Oryctolagus cuniculus: one gene and its partners. The protein of the gene in region 2 purifies or fractionates together with the protein of the main gene of each other region. This does not show direct contact. Links are inferred from orthologs where the notes say so. Each region holds a gene or a part of one and is shown on either strand. Other genes may lie near its edges.

What was found.
Region 1: the proteins of PFDN4 (region 2) and PFDN1 purify together in Homo sapiens (affinity purification with mass spectrometry; 5 studies listed by BioGRID and IntAct, counting the BioPlex papers as one, with this or other methods). This does not show direct contact. The link is inferred for Oryctolagus cuniculus from reciprocal best matches to the Homo sapiens genes PFDN4 and PFDN1.
Region 3: the proteins of PFDN4 (region 2) and PFDN5 purify together in Homo sapiens (affinity purification with mass spectrometry; 5 studies listed by BioGRID and IntAct, counting the BioPlex papers as one, with this or other methods). This does not show direct contact. The link is inferred for Oryctolagus cuniculus from reciprocal best matches to the Homo sapiens genes PFDN4 and PFDN5.
Region 4: the proteins of PFDN4 (region 2) and PFDN2 purify together in Homo sapiens (affinity purification with mass spectrometry; 6 studies listed by BioGRID and IntAct, counting the BioPlex papers as one, with this or other methods). This does not show direct contact. The link is inferred for Oryctolagus cuniculus from reciprocal best matches to the Homo sapiens genes PFDN4 and PFDN2.
Region 5: the proteins of PFDN4 (region 2) and PDRG1 purify together in Homo sapiens (co-immunoprecipitation; 3 studies listed by BioGRID and IntAct, counting the BioPlex papers as one, with this or other methods). This does not show direct contact. The link is inferred for Oryctolagus cuniculus from reciprocal best matches to the Homo sapiens genes PFDN4 and PDRG1.
Region 6: the proteins of PFDN4 (region 2) and PFDN6 purify together in Homo sapiens (affinity purification with mass spectrometry; 6 studies listed by BioGRID and IntAct, counting the BioPlex papers as one, with this or other methods). This does not show direct contact. The link is inferred for Oryctolagus cuniculus from reciprocal best matches to the Homo sapiens genes PFDN4 and PFDN6.

The regions. Positions count from the first base shown.
Region 1 is NC_091437.1:27,961,788-27,966,009, reverse strand, and holds the start of PFDN1 (prefoldin subunit 1), read left to right. Parts: upstream 1-1,422; 5' UTR 1,423-1,570; coding exon 1,571-1,603; intron 1,604-4,222. UniProt on the Homo sapiens protein: Binds specifically to cytosolic chaperonin (c-CPN) and transfers target proteins to it. Binds to nascent polypeptide chain and promotes folding in an environment in which there are many competing pathways for nonnative proteins.
Region 2 is NC_091442.1:7,288,885-7,292,901, forward strand, and holds the start of PFDN4 (prefoldin subunit 4), read right to left. Parts: upstream 2,801-4,017; 5' UTR 2,699-2,800; coding exon 2,672-2,698; intron 2,291-2,671; exon of another isoform or gene 1,834-2,290; coding exon of another isoform or gene 1,831-1,833; intron 1-1,830. UniProt on the Homo sapiens protein: Binds specifically to cytosolic chaperonin (c-CPN) and transfers target proteins to it. Binds to nascent polypeptide chain and promotes folding in an environment in which there are many competing pathways for nonnative proteins.
Region 3 is NC_091442.1:56,307,226-56,311,312, reverse strand, and holds the start of PFDN5 (prefoldin subunit 5), read right to left. Parts: upstream 2,801-4,087; 5' UTR 2,715-2,800; coding exon 2,643-2,714; intron 2,465-2,642; coding exon 2,362-2,464; intron 2,201-2,361; coding exon 2,169-2,200; intron 32-2,168; coding exon 1-31. UniProt on the Homo sapiens protein: Binds specifically to cytosolic chaperonin (c-CPN) and transfers target proteins to it. Binds to nascent polypeptide chain and promotes folding in an environment in which there are many competing pathways for nonnative proteins.
Region 4 is NC_091438.1:37,686,125-37,690,166, reverse strand, and holds the start of PFDN2 (prefoldin subunit 2), read right to left. Parts: upstream 2,801-4,042; 5' UTR 2,722-2,800; coding exon 2,647-2,721; intron 1-2,646. Other genes in the region: NIT1 (deaminated glutathione amidase), read left to right, coding at 2,856-2,908, 3,473-3,568, 3,816-4,042. UniProt on the Homo sapiens protein: Binds specifically to cytosolic chaperonin (c-CPN) and transfers target proteins to it. Binds to nascent polypeptide chain and promotes folding in an environment in which there are many competing pathways for nonnative proteins.
Region 5 is NC_091442.1:25,807,318-25,811,184, forward strand, and holds the end of PDRG1 (p53 and DNA damage-regulated protein 1), read left to right. Parts: intron 1-459; coding exon 460-534; intron 535-2,175; coding exon 2,176-2,256; intron 2,257-2,646; coding exon 2,647-2,729; 3' UTR 2,730-3,367; downstream 3,368-3,867. UniProt on the Homo sapiens protein: May play a role in chaperone-mediated protein folding.
Region 6 is NC_091436.1:135,834,645-135,837,696, reverse strand, and holds PFDN6 (prefoldin subunit 6), read left to right. Parts: upstream 1-1,390; 5' UTR 1,391-1,648; coding exon 1,649-1,712; intron 1,713-1,913; coding exon 1,914-1,984; intron 1,985-2,064; coding exon 2,065-2,189; intron 2,190-2,360; coding exon 2,361-2,490; 3' UTR 2,491-2,552; downstream 2,553-3,052. Other genes in the region: WDR46 (WD repeat-containing protein 46), read right to left, coding at 1-38, 158-270, 421-501, 614-826, 923-991. UniProt on the Homo sapiens protein: Binds specifically to cytosolic chaperonin (c-CPN) and transfers target proteins to it. Binds to nascent polypeptide chain and promotes folding in an environment in which there are many competing pathways for nonnative proteins.

The DNA of each region.
Region 1 (4,222 bases), on a different chromosome or scaffold from region 2:
GAGAAAGGTCTTCCTTTGCCGCTGGTTCACTCTCCAATGGCCGCCATGGCCGGTGCGCTGCGGCCAGCGCACCGTGCTGATCTGAAGGCAGGAGCCAGGTACTTCTGGTCTCCCATGGGGTGCAGGGCCCAAGGACTTGGGCCATCCTCCACTGCACTCCCTGGCCACAGCAGAGAGCTGGCCTGGAAGAGAGGCAACTGGGACAGAATCCGGCGCCCCGACCGGGACTAGAACCCATTGTGCCGGCGCCACTAGGCGGAGGATTAGCCTAGTGAGCCGCGGCGCTGGTCCCTTTCTTTCTTTCTTTTTTTTTTTTTTAAAGAATTATTATTTTTTAATTTGAAAGACAGAGTTACAGAGAGAGGTAGAGCCAGAGAGGTCTTCCATGTGCTGGTTCACTCCGGAAATGACCGCAACGGCCAGAGCTGAGCAAATCTGAAGCCAGGAGCCGGGAGCCTCCCCTGGGTCTCCACACGGGTGCAGGGGCCCAAGGAGTTAAGCCATCTTCTACTGCTTTCCCAGGCCACAGCAGAAAGGTGGATCACAAGTGGAGCAGCCGGGACTCAAACCCAATTGCCTGTTTCAAATGCTAGGTCCTTTTATAGCAGAGGTTCTCCAAATGTGTTCTGTAGACAACTTTTGCGCCACCAGGTCATGGGGAGTTAGGATAATTGCAAATTTTTAAGCCCTCAAAGATTCTGAATAAGCTTGGAATGAGACCTAAGAATCTATATTATTTAACATTTATTACTATTATTTGAAAGAGAGAGAGAGAGAGAGAGAGAGAGAGAGGGAGAGAGAGAAATCTTGATTCCTTCCACTGATTCATTCTACAAAAGTCCTCAAGTGCCAGGATTGGCCAGAACAAAGCTGGCCAATTCAGGTCTGCCATATGGGTGGCAGGAACCCTATTACTCGATCCATTACTAAGGCCTTTCAGGGTGTTCATTAGCAGGAAACCAGAATTGGAAGCCTAATCAGGATTCAAACCCATACACTCCAGTATGAGATGCTGATGTCTTAGCCACTGTACTAAACATTTTTCCAAAAATTTTTCCAAAAATCAAACATATCACCTCCCTCGAGAATCTCTAATCTAGAAAGTCTTTGGGAGCATTCAGTAGAAATGAGTTCTTTGGTGGAAAACCCAAGCCTTCTAATAGTCTTCTCCATATGGTTAGGCCTGAGGTCTGGGGTCCCTTCTTACTCATCTCTGACAGCACAGGACGAGCTGTAGGACTGAATAACTGATGAGGGTTTGACCTGATCCACGCACTTCTCAATTGAGTAGAAAAACTATCAAACTGTTCAAAGCCACAAGCGAAATCTACACGTTGGGCTGTGTCTGGAAGATGTGGAGGAACAAGCCAGACCTGATAGGTCAGCAAGGGAAGACAAATTGAATCGGAATCTTGAATATTTAGAGTAACCCGCTCCGCAACAGGGAAACAAACCCGATTAGCGGCACGCAGGCGCAGGCGCATTAGGAGGGCGACCCATCAAAACGCAGCCCTTCCCCCACCCCTTTCCGGCCTTCTTCCAATGCGCAGGCGCAGAGGGGTGCATCAAGATGGCGGCCCCCGTGGATCTGGAGTTGAAGAAGGTAAAAGAGGGTCTTGAGCAGGCAGAGGCTTCTCTTTGGAGGCCGAAGGGACTGTGGACAGGAATATCGAGTGAGGCTTGAATGTTTGCGGGAGCAAAGAGGCGCTGGAGGACTGGGGAATGTTTTCCCGGAGGCCTGAGGCGCCGCGGGGCCTCCTTGAGCCGAGTGGGCAGCTAGCGGCTCTTGCTGGGTGGGAGCTAGTTGAGCCGGGCCGGGTCCGAGTGCGAGCTTACCCGTTTGTTCTGAGCCCCAGAGCTATTTCGTTGCGTTTGGAGCCTTCAGGGGCTCAGTTTCATGGTAAGAACAGAAGACAACGTCTTAAAACCTCTTTGGTGCGGTTGCCTGGGGCTGAGGCGTGTGTAATTCTGCCTCATTTAATTCGGGAGAAAAAACCCAACACCTGTTTTAAAGCCATTTATTCCCATCCTGTACCTTGAAAAGCCGCAGGAAGGCATTGTCCCCTCTCCTCCTCCCCTCCTTTTGCGAAGGGCTTGTCTAAAAAAAGGAGCAGCAGAGTTTGCCAAATAAAAGCATTTTGAGAAGGAATTGCGTTTCTTCTGTTCAAACAATTGCTTATAAATGTTTGGTACCGGAGAGCAGTCAGGATTCTAACTCCACTGCCGACTCAAAACGTGTGCTTTGGGGGGCGAGGGCGGATTGGAAAGGACCCTGGACTGCATAGGATTTAAATCTACTTTTCTAGAAAGGGAAACAACTCTAGAGAAGTCTCAAAGAGTGGAATTAGAATACCATGTTCTCTTACAGGTTTTTTTGACCAGTAGTTTAAGTTCTTCATGGAAAACATCTGAACAGTCTTTGCATTAGAAATAGGGCAGCTGAAATAGCTCTTATTAAATGAAGCTGTTACTGTTTTAAAGGTGTTTGCGTCTCGTTTCTTCTGCTGCTCTTGTCTTGAAACTTGTAAGTTGCTTTTACATGCTGTTCTCTAATATCTTGGCTATATCTTCCTCCATAAACTGTATAGAACAGTCAGAAAATACCTGAAATTTTACATTTCAGAATAAAATTGTGTTTTCTGAAAAATTTACCCTTTTTTCCATTAAAAGTGTAAACTTAAACCAAGTTTTATTTATTTATTTATTTATTTTTGACAGGCAGAGTGGACAGTGAGAGAGAGACAGAGAGAAAGGTCTTCCTTTGCCGTTGGTTCACCCTCCAATGGCCGCTGCGGCCGGCGCACCGCGCTGATCCGGTGGCAGGAGCCAGGAGCCAGATGCTTTTCCTGGTCTCCCATGGGGTGCAGGGCCCAAGCACCTGGGCCATCCTCCACTGCACTCCCTGGCCACAGCAGAGAGCTGGCCTGGAAGAGGGGCAACCGGGACAGAATCCGGCGCCCCAACTGGGACTAGAACCTTGTGTGCCAGCGCCGCTAGGCGGAGGATTAGCCTAGTGAGCCGCTGCGCTGGCCTTAAACCAAGATTTTTTAAAAAATATTTTTTTTGAGAGGAAGAATTACAGAAGGTGAGAGGGAGTGATAGAGAGAGGCCTTCCATCCACTGGTTCACTCCGTAAGTGGCCGCAACTGAACCCATCCAAAGCCAGGAGCCAGGAGCTAGGAGCTTATTCCAGGTCTCCTGCGTGGGTACAGGGGCCCAAGGACTTGGGCCATCTTCTGCTGCTTTCCCAGGACATAGCAGAGAGTTGGATTGAAAGAGGAGCAGCTGGGACTAGAACCGGTGCTGCAGAAACCAAGATTTTGATGAAGAACTATCAAAAGTATTAACTGTGAAAGGGCTTGCTTCCCAGTACTCTTTGAATTTATTGATAAGAAACAAGTAAACAATTAATACAAACTAAGAAAAAAATTATAGGCCGGCGCCATGGCTCACTAGGCTAATCCTCTGCCTGCGGCGCTGGCACCACGGGTTCTAGTCCCGGTTGGGGTGCCGGATTCTGTCCCGGTTGCCCCTCTTCCAGGCCAGCTCTCTGCTGTGGCCCGGGAGTGCAGTGGAGGATGGCCCTAGTGCTTAGGCCCTGCACCCGCATGGGAGACCAGGAGGAAGCACCTGGTTCCTGGCTTTGGATCGGCACAGCACACCGGCCACAGCGGCCATTTGGGGGGTGAACCCACGGAAGGAAGGCCTTTCTCTCTGTCTCTCTCACTTTCTAACTCTGCCTGTCAAAAAAAAAAAAAAATTATAGACAAGTTGAATAATTTTGACAACCAATTAACAAGGAAACGTATATCAGTTTTTTTTTTTTTTCTTTTTTAAAGATTTATTTATTTGAAAGGGAGGGAGAGGCAGAAGCAGAGAGAGAATCCATTGATTGATTCCCTAGATGTCTGCAATGGTGGAGCTGGGCCAGGCCAAAGCCAGGAGTTTCTTCCTGGTCTCCCATGTTGGTGCAGGGGCCCAACGACTTGAGCCATCCTCCACTGCCTTCTCAGGCACCCTAGCTAGCAGGAAGCTGGATCAGAAGTGGAACAGCCAGAATTCGATGGCATTGCTGCAGGCTCAACCTTCAGTGCCCTAGCATTGGCTCCGTGTATCAGTTTTATTTCCTAATGTCTTCATAAGCTATTTTTTTGAGTGGTATTTAATAGGAAATATAGACATCTCTTCTTCCCCAAAGTAAATCTTCTGAAACTTTGCTAGA
Region 2 (4,017 bases):
TTTCCTGAACTGCCTTTGGGCACAGACAGTTCCTAACTGGGGTCCACAGACACTGAGAGGTCAGGTCACCCCCTGAGACTCTGTGCCCAACAGTGTGTGCAGGAAGTGCGTTTTTCCAGAACTCAGATTCTCAAAGCAGCCACAGTAGCAGGTTAGGGGCTCCTGCCTCAAGAGAAGCCACCTTTGTTACCACACTCATGAAGGCAGGAGCTCTTGGAGGAGGAAGTTACTTTGTGATACCTGAGGCGCACAGGGGCACAGTCAGAAAGGTTCCAATCCAAGCATAGGAACCTCGGGCAAATCACTCAATTCTTTGGAATCACTTCATGTTTTTAAAATGGAGAAGTCAGTTCCCACCTTGCTGGGGTGAAAAAATACCCAGGGCCTGGGACCAACAAATGAGAGGTCAGCACTTATTTTCCTCAATATTGCGAACCAAAAATCACTTCAAAGGAACAAGAGGTCCACCCCTAGACTTGTGCTAGGCCTAAAAAAAATATGACAAGATACAAGGTGAAGGGTTAGGGCAGGTTAAGCCAGCATCCGACATAGGTGCCGGTTCAAGTCCTCGCTGCTCCACTTCCAGTTAGCTCCCTGCCAACGTGCCTGGGAAAGCAGCAGAAAATGGCCCAGCTCTGGCCATTGTGGTCAGTTGCAGAGGGAACCAGTTGATGAAAGATCTCTCTGTAACTGAAAATTAAAATTCCCTGGGCTCCGACTATGCCCTTTTCCTGAAATTAGCATTTCATGGGATTTCAGGAGGAAATGGAGCCATACTCAGTCACGCCCCTCATCAACCATGGGTGTCACCCAGATTGCACTGACAGCTGCATTTCAGAAAGAAATTCTGGTTAATTTCATTCTGCTTTTATTTTTATTTCTGAAAGGTGCCTACCAAGTCCATATGATATAAATTTTTGCTTTGTGTTTTGTTCACCTTTCATGCATACAGCTACTCATGTAGCAACTATTTAGTATTTCCTAAGCGCCAGGAGTCATAGTCCTACCTTCCTGAACACCGACAAGCCTCATGGTGGAAGAGGCAGACAAAAACAGGGTGAACAAGAGAACATTACACAGTGATAAATGTGACAGTAAAAATAAATTCATTCTATTAGGGGCTGAAGGTTTTGGGGAGCTGGGGAGTGAAGGCAGCTTCTTTAGAGAGAGGTCAAAGACTGCCTTTCTGAGCCTGGGGACATTCGTACCTAGGAGACTCCTACGGCCAGGAAGCAAGCTTAGGAAGCAGACGTTTAAGGGGGAGAACTGTGCCATCTCCACTAAAGGTTCTCACCTGCGAAGCCATGACTAGTGGGAGGCAGCTAACATGTAGCCAGCGAAAAGCACTCCAGGTTGCAAAGGATACACTTTTTACTAAACTCAAAGGGAAACACAGACAGCTCAAGCTCCCAAGACCCTTCATGAACTGGCCACCGCCGGTCCCTCACCATGTTTTCCCACCCCCTACCCTGTCTGCCTTCCTTTTACCAACTGCACAAGGTTCCCCCTCTCTGAACCTCACTTGCTCTGCACCTCTGCCCTTCCTCCTGTGTAATCTCAGACCTCGGCTTCAAATGACACCTCCTCTCGGCTTCCCTCAGTTCTCGCTGGAGGTGGAAGCGAGTTTTCTGAGGGACAATCTCGGTGCTGCCTGCTTCTCTCCAAGAGCCTAACAAGCGAACAATACAATGGGGATGCAAACTCCAAGTGCTCATCACTGTCAGTCCCTTAAAACGGACTCTGCTATGTGCCCTGCTCAAAAACCGCAGGGAACAAATAAAAAGGGTGGTCCCAGAAATGTTGCGCTCAGGGTTCAGATCATCCTCTTACCATTCTCTCAAATGCTCACTTGCTCTCTGCATTCCACACCCCACCTCCGCCGGCCGCACCACTGCTGGTATCCCCCGTGGAATGAAAGCCCGCACTTAACAAAGGGCCCAATTTCACCAAGCACAGGTGAAGTGAATTTCACGTTTCACGCTTGTCTCCATCTCCCTGGCTCTGGGGCCCCTTCTCAGGTGCTCCGTAAGCATCTGAGGGGGCAGGGGCAGGCCAGGAGGGTGAGCCCTTCATCCCCAGCTGCAGAATGGGACGGCTGGGCGCCTCCTACACCAGGCCCAGGCCCAGGCCACATGGACTGTGCGGTGCTGGGCAGTCAGAGAGCAAAGGACGTCCTAACGTGGTCCCAGGGCTAGGACGAAGGCAAACGCGCCCAAGACCGGGGGGTCCGCAGCAGAGACCCCCGCCGCAGTTAAGAACGCCACAGCTGCAATGCCTAATCCCTGGTTTGGCCTCTGCGCTTCGGATTGCTCGTTTGCCAAATAAGGATCCAAAGCACCTCCCAGAAGAGGAGCCCAGGAGGGAAATGGATCAGATGCCGAGCTCCAGCCCTGCGCGGCAGCTGAGTCACTTGGGAGCCACTAACCGCCGCCGTCTACGGTTCCCCATCAGCGAGGAGGGGGAGCTCGGACGATAATCGGCCGGCGGTGAGGCCCCGTCGGGAGACTCAGGGGCTGGGCGCAGCCACCCGCCCGTACGCGGACGCCGGGCCCGCTCCGGCCTCCGCCCGGCCGCGCGCTCGGACAGGTGCCTCCCCGGCCCCCGGCCCCCGGCCCCCGGCCCCCGGCCCCCGGCCCCGGCAGCGCTGCCGCGGTACCCAGGTGAAGCCCACCTTGGGCGTCAGGCCCGCGGCTGCCATAGGCGGTCGCTTGCCGCTGCCGGGGGCAAGACCCGGACCGCTGGAGTCCCCAAGGGAGAGGCGAGAGGCGGCCCAGAGCACCCCCCAAAGCCCCGGGGCCGGGGGCGCGGGCGGGCGCCGCAGCGGCACCGCCCTGACGGCTGGTGGCCTCGGCCCCGGGACCGCTCCGGCCCCCAGAGCTGCGCACCGCCGGCATCCCGCGCCCCGGCCCCCGAGACCGACCCCGGCCGCCGCCCGGTCCCCGGGCGCCCCACTCACCGCCTTCTTCATGGTGGCCGCCATCTTGGGACTGGACTACGGGGCGAGGCGGGGAGGGCCGCAACGGTGCGGTCACCCGCGGGCCCCCTCTCACGCCCTACCGGCCCAGGACTCCCAAAGAAATCCAACGCCGTCTCCTCATCCCCTCCTGCTGGGCCTCCGACCAATGATTCCTCACGGCGGGCACTCGGGGAGCAAGCGTAACCTGGGAGGACTTGGTACATGCCAATTAAAGAGACAGGCGTCTCCCTGCGGGCGGACAGAGGCGCCGACGCCGACCGCGGACGGCAGGGGGCGCGCGGCGGGCGGGCCGGGCCGGGCCGGGACCTGGAGGGCGGGCCCGGAAGTCTGTTTTCAGGCATCCGACACGGGCGCTCCCTAAGAGGTAGGAACGCAGGGCCTTGCCCTTAGGATGTGAGGTTTGTGTCTCCTGGTGACTCCAAAGGTGCGACGCGGGAGGGCCCCTATGCGTTTATTCAACAGTGCAGCTGAACAGCTAATTAATCCTCCTGATTCTTTATTATCTTTAAAATTTTAGCCTCGAGAGCCGTTACAACTTTAATAATTATTGAGGACACCAAAGAACTTCTCTTTTTGTGAGTTACATTCATCGATAGTTACTATATTAGAAACTAAACCAGGATTTTAAAAAATGTATTCATTCATCTAAAATACTAAAACTCATTCCGTAGTAATAGGAAACAACATTTTAAGTGAAAAGCAACTTATTTGCCAAGGTAAAATTTTTTTTGAGAAAAAGATGACAGAGTTTTTTACATTTTTGCCAACCGAACGTCAGGCTTAATACAAAGTTACAGCCTCACTTCCCATCAGTCAGTGATGTATCATTTAGCTGATACCTCTGAGCTCTTTCCCCCAAGTCAGCTTCCCCTTGGTTAAATCCTGGTAAGAGGGTCCTCCTGCACCCTGTCTCCCAGCCCACCGGGCACCCACGGCCCCTGCCTGTTCTGTCGGTTGCCAGCTCCCAACTCCAAGCAGCAAGCCTAATGATTACCTTCAACAATTACGGTTAATTCCCTGCAGCTGGAAATACGGCTGCC
Region 3 (4,087 bases), about 49 Mb from region 2:
CCACGTCGTGCAGCTTGCCAGGGACGTACATCTGCGAGGCAAGGGTTAAGGGGAACCAGCCCAGCATGAGCCCCGAGTCCCTGTGGGCCAGCTGCTTGGCCTCCTACGGCTTCTTTCTTTCTTTTTTAATTAATTTATTTGAAAGGCAGAGTTACAGAGAGAGATCTATTCACTCCTCAAGTGGCCGCAACTAGCCGGCTGGAGCTTCTTCTGGGTCTGCAGGGGCCCAAACACTTGGGCCATCTGCTGCTGCTTACCCAGGCGCATCAGCAGGGAGCTGGATCAGAAGTTGGCCAGGACTGGCGCTGTGGTGTAGTGGGGCTAAGCCTCCACCTGCAGAGCCAGCATCCATATGGGTGCTGGTTCAAGTCTCAGCTGCTCCTCTTCCAATCCAGCTCTCTACTGTGGTCTGGGAAAGCAGTAGAGGATGGCCCAAGTGCTTGGGCCCCTGTACCCACGTGGGAGACCTGGAAGAAGCTCCTGGCTTCAGGTTGGCGCTGCTCTGGCTGTTGCAGCCATTGTGGAGTGAACCAGTGGATGGAAGGGCTTTCCAGTCTCTGTCTCTCACTCCCTCTGTCTGTAACTCTGCCTCTCAAATAAATAAATGTCTTTTTTTTTTTTTTTCTAAAGAAGTGGAGCAGCCAGGACTTGAACCAACAAAGGCGGGTGCTGCAGGCCGTGGGTTAATTTGTTGCACCACAGTGCTGGCCCTGACCGTCTTTTTTTTAAAACAAACCACAAGGGGTAAGGACTGAGTAATCTGGAGGCCTTAGAAATATGCCTGAAAGCCAGTGCTACAGCCCACTAGGCTAATCCTCCGCCTGCAGCGCCGGCACCCCAGGTTCTAGTCCCGGTTGGGGCACTGGATTCTGTCCCGGTTGCTCCTCTTCCAGGCCAGCTCTCTGCTGTGGCCCGGGAAGGCAGTGGAGGATGGCCCAAGTGATTGGGCCCTGCACCCGCATGGGAGACCGGGAGGAAGTACCCAGCTCCTGGCTTCGGATCGGCGCAGTGTGCCGGCCATAGCGGCCATTTGGGGGATGACCCATCGGAAAAAGGAAGACCTTTGTCTCTCTAACTCTGTCAAAAAAAAAAAAAAAAAGAAAGAAAGAAAGAAAGAAAGAAAAGAAAGAAGAAAGAAAGAAAAAAGAAAAGAAAAGAAAAGAAAAGAAAAGAAAAGAAGAAAAGAAAAGAAGTATGCCTGAAGCCCCCAAAAGGCAGCCGCAAAGATGCTGGCTCCTTTTGGAGAAAGCTGGCTTGTGCTGGAACTCTAGCCCCGACTCCATCTCCCGCCCTCCAAGCGATTGTTGTAACTCCTCCCAAGGACTCCTCGGCAAAGACTGGATTTGGTGATGGTCTCCCCCTGCCTGGAGTGGACCCCGTGAAGAGCCAGCTTCATGTCCCCTCATCGTCCCCCATCACGAAGTGGCTCATGCCCATTCACTGCTACACCGCCGTTCCTGTGCCCTTTCCCAAACGCCAGCTACGCACCGCAGGTTCGCCACTGCCAGAACCTGCTCATTCCAGGTCAACCCCCAGCAGGTGAGCCTAACCCAGGCTCCTTCCAGCAGCTGAGGAATGGGCCACGGGGAAAGTGAAATTTAGGGTTAATGAACAGAGCCAACCTCCCTGTTTAATACTAGCAAAAGAAGATCAGCTTTTTCTTCATATTCATGGCCTCTAACAGCATGGGGGGGAGACCACAACTCTACATACCATATCCCTTGGCACTCAGAAGGCATGAGCTGGATGTCGACCTGAGGCTACGAAGTGTGTACAACAAGAGCCCTCTCAAAATCACTGGGGGGAGGGGGTAGCCAGTAAAGCCGCTGCCTGCAGTGCCGCTTCCCATGTGGGCGCAGGTTTGAGTCCCGGCTGCTCCACTTCCAATCCAGCTCTCTGCTGTGGCCTGGGAAAGCAGTGGAAGATGGCCAAAGTCCTTGGGCCCCTGCACCCGTGTGGGAGACCCGGAAGAAGCTCCTGGCTTCGGATCGGCACAGCACTGGCCATTGCGGCCAATTGGGCAATTAACCAACGGATGGAAGGCCACTCTCTCTCTGCCTCTCTCTAACTCTGCCTTTCAAATTAAAAAAAAAAATCAAGGGGGAGTTCTACGGTGTCCGCCCCGCCCCCGGGAGGCGGCGCGGTAGCAATCCCAGTGGAAAGGATACGGAACTTGTCAGTGGGACGAGCAGTTCTTTCCCTGTGAAAGCAATGAAGACAAACAGCGTGGGCAGGCTGGCAGCCGTAAAGGGAGTTCAGAGCCCGGCAGCATGCACAGGGCGCGTGCAGCGGCGCTCAGCGCGCAGCGCCCGGTCCTCTCGCCGCCGCGGTCCCCGCGTTGCCCGCTCCTACGCCGCATACCCTCGTTGCTCTTGTTCAGCACGTTCAGACAGTCCTTGGCTTCCACGTACTTGGTCTGTACCACCTTGAGCTGGGCGATGGACGTGGACAAGAACTCCACCTCCTACACGGGACGGGAAAGCGGGGCCGGCTGAGGACCCGGGGCCCGAGAGGGGCGGACCCTGGGAGCCGGGGAAGGGAAACGGCTCAAACTGGAAAGGAACGGGGTGGGGGGCGAGAGGCTGCGTGTGGCCGACGGGATGTGGAGCGCGCGAAAGGTGTTGCTCGGGCTCCATCCCCACCTGATCCAGCTGGTTCTTGAGCATTTCTAGCTGCGGCAGGTTCAGCTCCGTGATGTTGATCGACTGCGCCATGTTGGGACGGAGGAGTAGCCGAGAGGAAGCCGGCCGCGTGAGCGACGCTCTAGCCGTCTCCTGCGCGTCTCTATGGCCGTGCCCGGCGGCCTCGCTGCGCCGGACGTCTCTATGACCCGCAAGGGAGGGAGGCGCTGGAGCCGCTCAGGTGCACCTTGTGTTGAGAGTCACGGGATAGTCTAAGCCTAGTCCAATAAAGTTGTAGCAAGCCATGATGCCTGTCCTCCAGGAAGTTGAAAATCCTGAAGTGCTCAGGACACAGCCACAATCCTGTAAGGCAGCGTGTAAATCTAGTGACCGACAGCTGTGTGCGTGGTGGGGGGCAGCTGGTCGGGCCCCTTGTCCCTTGTCGCAGAGGAGCATCATGAAAATGCTGCTTGGAGCAGACGCAGGGGAGAGTCTGGAAGTGGAGAGGATTAAAAAGCCGCAGTCTGAACGTCACACAATAAATGTTTTGTGAACTGTGAAAAATTGAAAAAAAAAAAAAAAAAAGCCACAGTCAGCCAACAAGCATAGCACAAGGTGTCACTCCGTAGCATGTGTTACCTGCGCTAGCTAGACGGAGCCTGGAACGCCATCCTGGTCGGCCGCATTGGGTGCTGGGCCCAAGTACTTCAGTTATCATCTGCTGCCTTCAGGAAGCTGCATTGGAAATGTAGAGTAGCTGGGACTCAAACCAGGTGCTGTGCTATGAACACATCTTGTTTCCTTGGAGCCCAGAACCTACATGGGTTATTTCCTGGGGTTCTGGCTTACATGTGGGTGTGTGTTCTGGGAGGCCAAGGTCTATGTGTTGTTTCCTAGGATGCCCGGAATTCCTGATGGGAATTGAATCCAGGCACTCCAAGGTGGGATACACCCACCTGAGCTGCTAGGGCAAATGTGGCATAGCAGGTTAGGCAGCCGCCTACTATGACAGCATCCCAAATGGGTGCTAGTTTGAGTTCCGGCTGCTCCACTTCTGATCCAGCTCCCTGCTAATGTGCCTGGGAAAGCAGTGGGAGATGGGAAGATAGCCTGAGTCCTCGGGCCCCTGTGTGGGAGACCCAGATTAAGCTCCTAGTTTTGGCCTGGCCAGCCCTGGCCATTGTGGTCACTTGGGGAGCAAACCAGCAGATGAGATCTCTCGCTCTCCTCTTTCAAATAAATTAAAACTTTTTTTTTTTTTTAAAGACCTATTTGAGAGGTAGAGACACAGAGAAAGGTCTTCCATCTGGTTCACTCCCAAAATGGCTGCAACAGCTGGAGCTGTGTGGATCCAAAGCCAGGAGCTTCTTCCAGGTTTTCCAATGGGTGCAGGGGCCCAAGGACTTGGGCCATCTTCTGCTTTCCCAGGCCATAGCAGAGAGCTGGATCGGAAGTGGAGCAGCCAG
Region 4 (4,042 bases), on a different chromosome or scaffold from region 2:
CTGTAGTACCATTATCCAACACAGCAGAAACCTGAGAAACAGCCTATATTCTTCTTTTATACCTTTTTCTTCACATTCAAAGTCTTGGAATTCACCTCAAACTTTAAGTCCCTCTGCATCCCAAACATACAAGGCAGTTTCATGTCTTAGTGCTTTTGAACACATTATTCTCCACACCCTGAAAATCTTGCACTTCCATCTTTGCTTGACTAACTTCTCTCATTCCTTGGAGCTGAGCTAAAGAATTTTCTCCTAAGAGAATAAAAAAACAAAAGCTGTGAGGCAAGTGTTTGGCACAGAGGTTAAGACACTGCTTAAGTACTGGCTCCTAACACGCACTGTGGGAGGCAGCAGGTAATGGTCCCTGCTGCTCATGTGGGAGACCCAAGTTCAGGGCTCCTGCTTCAGCCTGGCCCAGACCCAGCTGTTATGACATATGGAGAGTGAACCAGTGGATGGGAGATCCTTCTTTCAAATTAAAAAGTAAGTAAAAAAAATAATAACCACAACAAACCGAAAAAAGCTGGGCTAGGCATTCAGCCTAGCAGTTAATATGCCACTTGGAATGCCTGCATCTCCCATCACAGTGCCTGGGTTCTAGTCCAGGCTCAGCTCCAGTGTCCAGCTTCCTGCTAAAGAGCATCCTAGGAAGGGCCAGCACCGTGGCTCACTTGGTTAATCCTTCACCCGCAGCGCCGGCATCCCATATGGGCACCAGGTTCTAGTCCCAGCTGCTCCTCTTCCAGTCCAGCTCTCTGCTGTGGCCCAGGAAGGCACTGGAGGATGGCCCAAGTGCTTGGGTTCCTGCACCTGCGTGGGAGACCAGGAGGAAGCACCTAACTCCTGGCTTTGGATCAGTGTAGCTCCTGCCGTACCAGCCATTTGAGGGGTGAACCAACAGAAAGAAGACCTTTCTCTCTGTCTTTCTCTCTCACTGTCTAACTCTATCTGTCAAATTAAAAAAAAAAAAAAAGAGCATCCTGGGAAGCAGTAGATGAGGGCTCAAGTGGCTGAGTCCCTGCCACCCACATGGCAGTCCTGTACTGAGTTCCTGATTCCTACCTTCAGCCCCAGTGCCAGCTAGGCCTGCTGTGAGCATTTTGGTAGTGAAACAGCAAATGGGAGCTCTGTCTCTGTGCCTCAGAATAAACATAAAATTCGAAGAGCTAACCAGAAATTATTAAACATACTGCATTCTAGTCACTGTGCAAAAATACTTTATATGCATTGCCTTACCTAATACTCTCAATACAGTGATCAGCTAGTTACTACTATGTTTTTTACAGACTGAGAAGGCTGAGTAACTCAAAGGAGGTCATACATAAATAGTAAACCCAGATCTGTCTGACTCCAGTGTTTAAGAATGCTCTTGAACCAACGGCAAAGGAAGACCTTTCTCTCTGTCTCTCTCTCTCACTGTCCACTCTGCCTGTCAAAAAAAAAAAAAAAAAAAAAAAAAATGCTCTTAGCCACCACCCCACCCCTAAATCCCATACCCTCTGGATTAGTTTAGGGGTCTCTTCCCTGGGCCATCAAAAAAAAAAAAAAAAAAAAAAAAAAAAAGGAGAGTACATTATAAACCTTTGCCTTTTCTCAAATGAGTGTCAATCACTTGAAGGCAAGCTCTATTTATCTGTTTCCCTGTACCCAGAAAATGCCTAGCACAGGGCAGACCCTGAAAACATATCAGGTTTCTTCTCCCTTCCCCCCTTCTCCTCTTAAGTCTGAAACCAATTTTTCCACCTGCCTGCAAACCCCATGCCACTGTACATCTCTTAGGATACATCTTCTGCCTCACAGTAGCATTTTGTATGTCCTATTTACCTCACCAAACCCCGCTCTTTGATGGCAAGGGACAATTTTTAAATCCTTATGTAGAAACTGCTGCGGGCATTAACTGTGGAAAACTCATAAACGAACCTAGAATGAAAATAGCTTTTAACTGCTGTAATTTCTGTGTAGCTTTCTTCCCACTCTGATTAGCCCCATTATTAGCAAGCCACTGTTCCCTAGTTTCAAAAGGCTTTCTGATCAATTTATCAAACGCTTCCGATGTTAGGCACGGGGCGGGGAGCAAATTCAGATCAGAGAAGGGTTTCTGTTCTCCAGAGAAATTCAATCTGGTAATGACTCCCGAATCAAAACAGTGTAGAACACTCGGACGGTTCGAGTATGTGAGTCACGTGGCTCTGCAGGGTGACGGCGATCATCAACGCAGTTTCAGGGTCACGTAACGGTCTACACAAGCAGCCCGCTTACTCATTCCGTGGGATTCTAGACCAGCTGCCATGCCCAGCCCTATCCCGCTTGGGGCTCCCGAGGAGGGGTGCGCAAAGCGACGTCTCATCTCCCCTCAGACCTGTGTGTATCTTCCCACACCCTGCCTCTCTGGGCTTTCCCTCCCCCAACCCCACCCTCAGGCTCACCCAACACCCCCGAGGGGCGTGGCCCTCACCTACCCACCCGCCTACAGTCTTCCCCGGGGGCTCCGCCAGATTCTCCAAGGACCCTCCCCTCTCTAGGTGGCCTCGCAAATGTGGGGCTGCAGTACAGGCCTGCACTAGCCACAGCCACCGCCACCCCTTTTTGAGACGTATCGGCTCCAGACACAGCCGGGGACCCCCCTTCGCGCTCTTAGCTCCTCACCTGCTCGGCCGACACCACCCCCTTCCCAGCGCCGCTCCCGCTGCTCTTGCCGGCGCGACCGCTGTTCTCCGCCATCTTCGCCGCCTGCTGGGTTTCCGGCCTGAGCGGCTCAGTCCCGCCCCGCCTTGCGTCACATCCGGGCTGGGAGTTACCGCCCCCTCGCCGCGGCGCCGCTGACTCCAGGCAGCTCTACGGATCCGACCCTGCGAATGGTTTTGGCTGTATCTTCATGTAGGACCTACTCCCTAAGTCGCCGGCCGCGGTGAATCCCACCTAGGGTGCTTTTACCTATGCAACAGAGATGCTGCCCCTGGGAGAGGCGGGAAAGATGGGCTAACTCGAGCGGGGAGGGGGCGCGGGTTGAGATCTGGGTTCCTTGTGCCCTCTCCCCACTTCGGGGTGGTGGGCTACGAGGGAGGGTATGCTTCTCTTAAGAGATGCCGCTGTGGGGAGGGAAATATGCTTTGAATTACTAAAGCTGTGCAAGTGCGCAGCCAAGAAGAGAGGCTTAGAAAAACCAAGGAAGTTTCCCCGAGATGACTTCTGAACTGAGGAAACGCTTGGCAGACCAAAGGGCTTCAGCTTAATGTGAGATCTCTGGGAGCTGAGCCAGTCAGGCACGGAGCCAGCCCCTTCCCCCACCCTCCACCTTTGAGCTTCCCCCGTCGCCCATAGAACTTGCAGTGGAGAGTGTTTTAAGGACTGGGGTGTTAGTTTTTAATGGAAGGGCCCTGTTTGAGCTTCACAGTGTGAAGGTGAAGACAGAATCCTAGAAATGTCTTCTCTGAGGGCAGGGTTAGGTGTCCTGATTTCTCATCTTCCTCAGGCTGGGCTTCATCAGCAGGCCTCCTCACCAGCTCCTGTCCTTTCTGTGCCCTGGACTCCGGACACCTCGACCCTCAGTACTTTGTGCTCTGCCCAGGTAACATATTTTGTTGTGTCCTTGGTGCCTGCCATATAGTAGATGCTCAGTGTTTGTTAAATGGATGGTGGGACTCAGGTATCAACCATCCAAAGAACACTGGATCTGTGAACCCTGGATCACCGTGGACTGTAAGAGCAGAGTCAAAACGAAGTCCAGCCTTCCCTGCCTGCTCATTTGAGCCGCTTATTAAACTTGGGTTTCCCCATGCTAGGAAATCTGACAATCCTGCCTGTGGCATTCACAGGTCCAGAGCCATGGCTAACTCCTCTTCCTCCTGGGAACTGCCCCTGGTGGCTGTGTGCCAGGTAACATCAACACCAGACAAGCAACAGAACTTTAAAACGTGTGCTGAGCTGGTTCGAGAGGCTGCCAGACTGGGTGCTTGCCTTGCTTTCCTGCCTGAGGCATTTGACTTCGTTGCACGGGACCCTGCAGAGACGCTACGCCTATCTGAGCCACTGGGTGGGGACC
Region 5 (3,867 bases), about 19 Mb from region 2:
CTTCATCTAGGCCTCCCACGTAGGTGTAGGGGCCCAAGCATTTGGGCCATCTTTTGCTGCTTTCCCAGACCATAGCAGAGAGCTGGATTGGAAGTGGAGCAGCCAAGTTTCTAACTGGCGCCCAAATAGGATGCAGGCATTGTGTCTGCCCACGTTTCTGATCTTTGCTGGTCCCGTTTCCTCCCTGGATGTCTACACTGTCACTTTGGTCTCTGCTCAAATGTCACATAATCAGAGACCTCGAACCACTTGGTATAAGCGTCCCTCCCCTAGCATCCCCAATTCTTTTTAAACTACTTGACTTTTCACACACCTTTGCTTATTCCCTCTGCACTCTAGCCTGAACACGACGAGTGCAGGCGCTTTGTCTTGTTCTGCTGTGTTCTCAGTGGTTAAGACAGTGCTGGAAGGTAGTAGGTACTCGGGAAGTGGTAAAGGAGTGACCGCTTGCTGTTTCAGAGGATGTGACGGTGTGCTTCGGGAGCATGTTTATCAAGATGCCGCACCCTCAGACCAAGGAGATGATTGAGAAAGGTAAGGAAGGCCTCCTCGGGGTGGGCCAGGGCCGTGGCGCTGTTCTTGGGGGACACATTCTTAACCCAGAACCGAGCTGGAGCCTGGGCAGCTGTGTTACAGTTCACACTGGTGTGGGCTTTAACCCCTGCCCTGCCCTGGGCCTGCTGTGTCGCACAGCACAGTGCCTGCTCATCAGAGAGGAACTCGTTGGGTTACAAGTAGCAGAAAACCCAACACATTGAGGCTTCAGGAAAATAAGGATTCGGGGTTTCACGCATGAGAGATGCCGCAGAGGAGGGCAGGTCAGGACCGGCACAGTTGCGCAGCGTCGGCACCTGAGCGTTTCCCGTGCGTCATTACAGACTGCGTGTCTTGCCAGGCTGGAGGAGAGGCTGGAGGTTCTCTACTGTGGCCTTTCTTTTTAGAAATAAAGCCATCCTTCCCAGGGGCTTACTGCCAATACCTTATTGCCCAGAACAAGTCCCATGGCACTCAGCTGCAGAAGACCCTGGGACCGTGAGCTTTTATTTTTCCTGTTCACTGCAGTAGAGACTGTTGAAATGGAGGTGTGGGGAGAGTGAACCTAGGAGTGAGGACCGTCCAGCCTTCAGGCACATTTTGGTCTGGCCCTGCCAAGGCAGCTGCAGGTGGGACTCGGAATTCAGTAAGTCTGTAGGAGGCTAATTAAGATTATTTCAAAGAGTTAGGTCTTCCATTCCACTGGTTTACTCCCCAGATGACCTCAAAGGCCAGAGCTGAGCTGAGACCAGGAGCTTCCTCAGGGTCTCCAACGTGGGCACAGGGGCCCAGGGAGTTGGGCCATCTTCTTTCACAGGCCATATCGGAGAGCTCGATCAGAAGAAGAACTGCCAGGACTTGAACCAGCGCCCATATGGGATGCTGGCACTGAAGGCTAGGCTAGGGCTTTTGTTTTTTTTTTGACAGGCAGAGTGGACAGTGAGAGAGAGAGAGAAAGGTCTTCCTTTGCTGTTGGTTCACCCTCCAATGGCCGCCGTGGTCGGTGCACTGAGGCCGGCGCACCGCACTGATCCGGAGCCAGGTGTTTTCTCCCATGCAGGTGCAGGGCCCAAGGACTTGGGCCATCCTCCACTGCACTCCCAGCCATAGCAGAGAGCTGGCCTGGAAGAGGAGCAACCGGGACAGAATCCGGCGCCCCTACCAGGACTAGAACCCGGTGTGCCGGCGCCGCAAGTGGAGGATTAGCCTATTGAGCCGCGGCGCCGGCCTGAAGGCTAGGGCTTTAACCCTCTGTGCCACAGTGAAGGCTGCTAGGAGGCTAATTTTTAAGTTGATTTTATAAGGCCCACGAATTATGTTTTATAAATATCCACATTACCCTAGACAGAAATAAAGGTTCCCACCCCTGCTGTGGGGTCTGCGAGTCTGGGCACTCAACATGTGCCACTCGAGTTTCTAAAGACCATTAGATCCTGGGAACTCTGGAAAAGTATCTTAAAAGCACGAACTTGGGCTGCAAACAGCTCCCTGGCTGGGAAAAGGGCAGGTCACTCCCACTGGGAGTCGGGGCCTGGCCTGTTTTGGGCAGGGCCTGGCCTTCCTCAGTGCTCTGGGAGCTGGCAGCCCCACTTGCAGGTCAGTCTGTCCAGTATGGCCTTACCGTCTGCCTGCCTCTTTCAGATCAGGACCATCTGGATAAAGAAATAGACAAACTGCGGAAACAACTTAAAGTGAAGGTCAACCGCCTCTTTGAGGCCCAAGGTATTGGCTGCGGGGCCGGGGTGGGAAGCCCCTCAGTGGTGGGCAGTGGCGGTACAGGCAGTGGCTGTCTGCAACCACCCAGAGACAGAGTGGGCTTAGTCAGGGGATCGAGGTCAGAGCTGAAACTTAGAGTAGATCGAGCACTCCAGATCAGTCACAGATCTGGCAAAAATCTGGAGCTCTCTGGGTGTGCAGTCTCATGACTTTGCAGGTTCGTGGTGACCCAGGAGCAGGTGCATTGCAGAATTTGAGGCCCATCCTGCCAGAACCCAAGGCCAACTTTGGCAGCATTTGTGCCGTGCTAGCCGCTTTCCTGGGCCTGTTGCCAGAGCCAGCAGTAGGGTGGACAGCAGGAGGCCCATGTGCTGATGGATTGCTTTCTCCCTGTAGGTAAACCGGAGCTGAAGGGCTTTAACCTGAACCCCCTCAACCCAGCTGAGCTTAAAGCTCTCAAGGTCATCTTGAAAGGATGAAGCTCAGGTACCACCGTGGGGGAACTAAGACTGGCGTCCCCCGAGTCACGCAGGAGCCAGGACTCCCTAACCTTGAAAGCTACAAGGACGGCTGTGCACTGGCAGCAGCAGGCAGCCCTCTGGGGCACCATGCGAAGGCTTCATAGTGCTGGGCTACTTGGTGATGGCAGGAGGGCACCTCAGCCCACCTGTGTCTGCTGGGCCTGACGTCTGTGGCTCGGAGGACACAGGACCTATTGACAGGCCCTGGCGGCTGCAGTGGGTGTGTGTGGGTGAGTGACTGCACCAGGCACTTCCTGACAATGGCCTGTTGTTCACATGGCGCCGGGCAGGAGAGGCAAAGCTGGATCCTTGGTCCAGCCCTCGTCTCAGGGGAGATGCCAGGCAGGCAGCATCCACGGTGGAACTGGAATAGAGCAGGTGGCTTCTGAATGAAGGACACTCAGTGCTTTGTGCAGCTCGGGGGGCGTGCGCACATGCGTCCCCTGCTGGCCCCAGGGCGTGGGTGCTGCTTAGACCCCTGTGGGGGAGGGGCGCCCCTTCATCACCACTTAGAGGCCTGGCTGCCTTCAGCATCTGGGCTCCTCATGGGCAAGAATGTCCTGCTTGTGGAGGACTCAATAAACAGTAGTAAAACAGTCGGTTTCTAGCGCTTTCTCACTCGGTCCTCCATGGAGTGCGCACCAGTCCTTTGAGAACCCCACATGGGGGCAGCTGTTGAAGCATCAGGTAGGAGACTAACATCCCATGGCCAAGTGCCTGGGTTCCAGACTCTGCCGCCAATCCCAGCCTCCTGGCTGATGTGTACTTTGGGAGGGAGCAATGATGGTGCAGATGCCTGGGCCCATGCACAAGGGAGACGCGCACAGGTGGATTTCCAGGCTCCCGGGATCAGGCAGCAGGGACTCACAGCTGACAACGTGCAGAGGGCACACTTTGCCCGTTCCCCTTGTTCCACGGCCTGACTGACTGTGGTAAGGACAGCCTGGTAGGACCAGATCAAGTATTTTTCAAGAGCTAGAAATCTGGGTTGCTGAGTCTCCCGATTCAGAAAAACATGTAAAAACGTGGGTGTTTGTCGAAACACCTTACAGGAGAGGCCTGTAGAAGTGACGCATTCCTCACGATAACCCTCTGA
Region 6 (3,052 bases), on a different chromosome or scaffold from region 2:
TCTTTGCTGTGTCTTCCCCATCCTCCCCTTCCAGGAACCTGGAAGAGCGTCCATACTGCAGTAAAGCTCCCTCTATGAAGTGGGCACACCAACATAAAACGAGGCAGGGAAATCCCGCGAGACGAGGGCCGGCAGGGCCAGGTCGGGGTCCACTCACCCAGGCTCCTCAGCAAGCAGCAACTCTGAGCGGGCAGCTTGGACGCTGGTTTCCTCTTCCTCAGCTTCAGCTGCCTCAAGTCTGCTGCGCGTCTTGGACTTGGAAGGCGGCAGCTACAACAGCGTTGGGAGTGGAGGAGGAGGAGGAGGAGGAGCGGAGGGAGAACACGGAGAATCACAGCAGAGCCACCGGGCCCCACCTCCATCCTTCTCACCCAGGCGCTCCCAGCCTCCAGTCCTTCCCCACCGTCCAGCGATTCTCACCTTTTTAGATTTGTCAATGCGACGGAACTTCCGGGCTGCCTCCACCGGGACGGGGGCGGGGCCCGGGAAGGGGTCCTGGGCCTGGGGCAGAGAGGAGGCAGTCAGCTCACAGCTTCGGGCTGACCCCCCAACCCTTTCACTCGCAAAGCACAGAGAAACCTGCCCCCGCCACCCTGCCGCGGTGCAGGCTCACCCCAGACAAGCTCCGCTGGGGCTCCGGCTTCTTCGGCCCTCGAGACTTCCTCGCGACCAGGGTCTTCTTGGAGATGCGCGACTTCTTTGTGACCTGAGTGTTCTTTGGTCTCTGGGGCCGGAGCTCCCGGTTCCGCTTCTTCTTAGGAGGCGGGCCTGGAGAGGCGCCGGTGGCGCTCGGAGTGGTGTCCACTTCCCAGTATCGCCGCGGTTTCTACGGGCAGATCAGGAGCCCTGGAACTCCGCGGCCCACGTCCCGCCCCCGAACCCCACAGCTAAAACCTCCCTGCCCGTCCAGAGAAGCCTGTACCTTCCTCTTGGCCTGAGGTTTGTCCTTCTTGGGTGGGGCATCCTGACTGGCCTTTGGGACTGTCTCCATCTCGCCCACTGGAACAACGATCCACGTGCAAATCTCTCAGCTGTCCCACAGTCGGCTTAGACTCTCCCGGAAGTCCTCTGTTCCGCCTCAGCCAATCAGCATCGTTCCAGGGCTGAAGTCTTGAGCACGCCATCTTGAGTGAGGGCACACTCTCCTTTAAGGGGCGGGGCGTGCTGTGGCATCTCCCTCGGGCGCCGCAGCTTATACCCGAGGAATGGGGAAAAAAAGTCAAGTCCGGGCCAGAAACCAGTAACAGAATAGTCTTTTTCCGGATTAACTTCTCTGTCTTGCCTAAAACCTTCTGAGTCCAGTCATTTCAGCCGAATGCCGCTTATTAAAAATGTTAGAACTACATTTCCCGACATGCAACCTGGAGGCAACTTCCGGATTGATTTTCCCAGCATTCCATGTTTACTTCCGGGTTGATTAATACAGAAGGGAGAACGTGAGTAGGTTAGGGTACCGTTTCAGGGGTTTTGCGTTTCTTTTCGTCCTGCACCCACTGGGGTCGGGTCGATTCGACTTCCCGGACAGGGAGAGGCCGCGGTGCCCCGAAGGACTGCCTCTCAAGAGGACTGTCATTTCCGTCGGCCCGACCAGAAAGGGGAGCTCGACCCCAGCGCCCCTCTCCCGTTCCCGCAGGCTTTCATCCCCGCCATGGCCGAGCTGATCCAGAAGAAGCTGCAGGGAGAAGTGGAGAAGTATCAACAGCTACAGAAGGGTAAGGGACCGGGTGGGCGTAGTCTCGCCGCAGCCCGCAGACTAGCCGAAACGAGCTCTCCGCCCCAGCCGGCCCGCTCCTTCCCCGCCTGTATACTCGCCCCTTCTTCCCGGTCTGCTTCCTCACATCCGCCTTCTGGGCCAGGACTGTGGGAGCCCGTGGCACTCTTGGTGTCCCACTCACGTCTCCCTTCCTCCCTAGACTTGAGTAAATCCATGTCAGGGAGGCAGAAGCTTGAAGCCCAACTAACGGAAAACAACATCGTGAAGGAGGTGAGGGGCCGGGAGTTGTGGGGGCGGAGCAGCCTGGACCGGCTGCGGTTCTGATCAGACCCGTCCCGCTCGCCCACCAGGAACTGGCTCTGCTGGACGGGTCCAACGTGGTCTTTAAACTGCTGGGGCCGGTGCTGGTTAAGCAGGAGCTGGGGGAGGCGCGGGCCACGGTGGGGAAGAGGCTGGACTACATCACAGCTGAAATGTGAGTTTTTGTCCCACTGCCCTGGCTGTCGGCCGGCGGGTGCTGGGGACCTGAGTGGATTGCCCTTCGGAGCAGCCCACGGAAGCCTCCCCTTTTAACGCGGCCTGCCCCTCCCCCTAGCAAGTCCCTCTAACTTCTCCCTGTCTTCTCTGGCCCCTGGCCTCTCCTCAGTAAGCGATACGAATCCCAGCTCCGGGACCTGGAACGGCAGTCAGAGCAGCAGAGGGAGACCCTGGCCCAGCTGCAGCAGGAGTTCCAGCGGGCCCAGGCGGCCAAGGCAGGGGCTCCCGGGAAGGCCTGACCTCGGGGCGGGGCGGGGTGGGATGGGCCACTCTAAGTACCTAATAAAATGTAAACACCTGGCTCTGTTGTCCTGCTTGTCTGTTCCCCCGGCCTCCATCACCTGACCCACACACCACACACCACTGTTACTCCCTCAAGCCCACATTCCAGCACCTGCAGTCTCTGGAACTAAACTCTAAAATGTCTCAAAGCTGCTCCTCACCTGTACTCGTATGTACAGCCCTTAATTCTCCGTTATTTTCCTAAGACACGGCCTTTTAGGAAACACAAGGACATTTACAACCTAAGCATATTGTTGGGAGTGTCGTTTAAATTGAAGAACTCAGAATTCTCTGAGAACCCAGGATGAAATGTGACTCCTCCCCTTGCTGTGAATACAAGTGCTCCGTAGGGCTCATGGGAAAATGGAAATAAAAGGTTGGGTTACAGCAGGTGGGGGCTTTTGACTCTGCTTCTCAATAAAAATATTTCCATGCAAGACATTTTGAATCATGCATTTTCCATGTACTCTTTGAAGACCCATCACATGCATGACTCCAAAGCTTCTGTACCAAAATAAC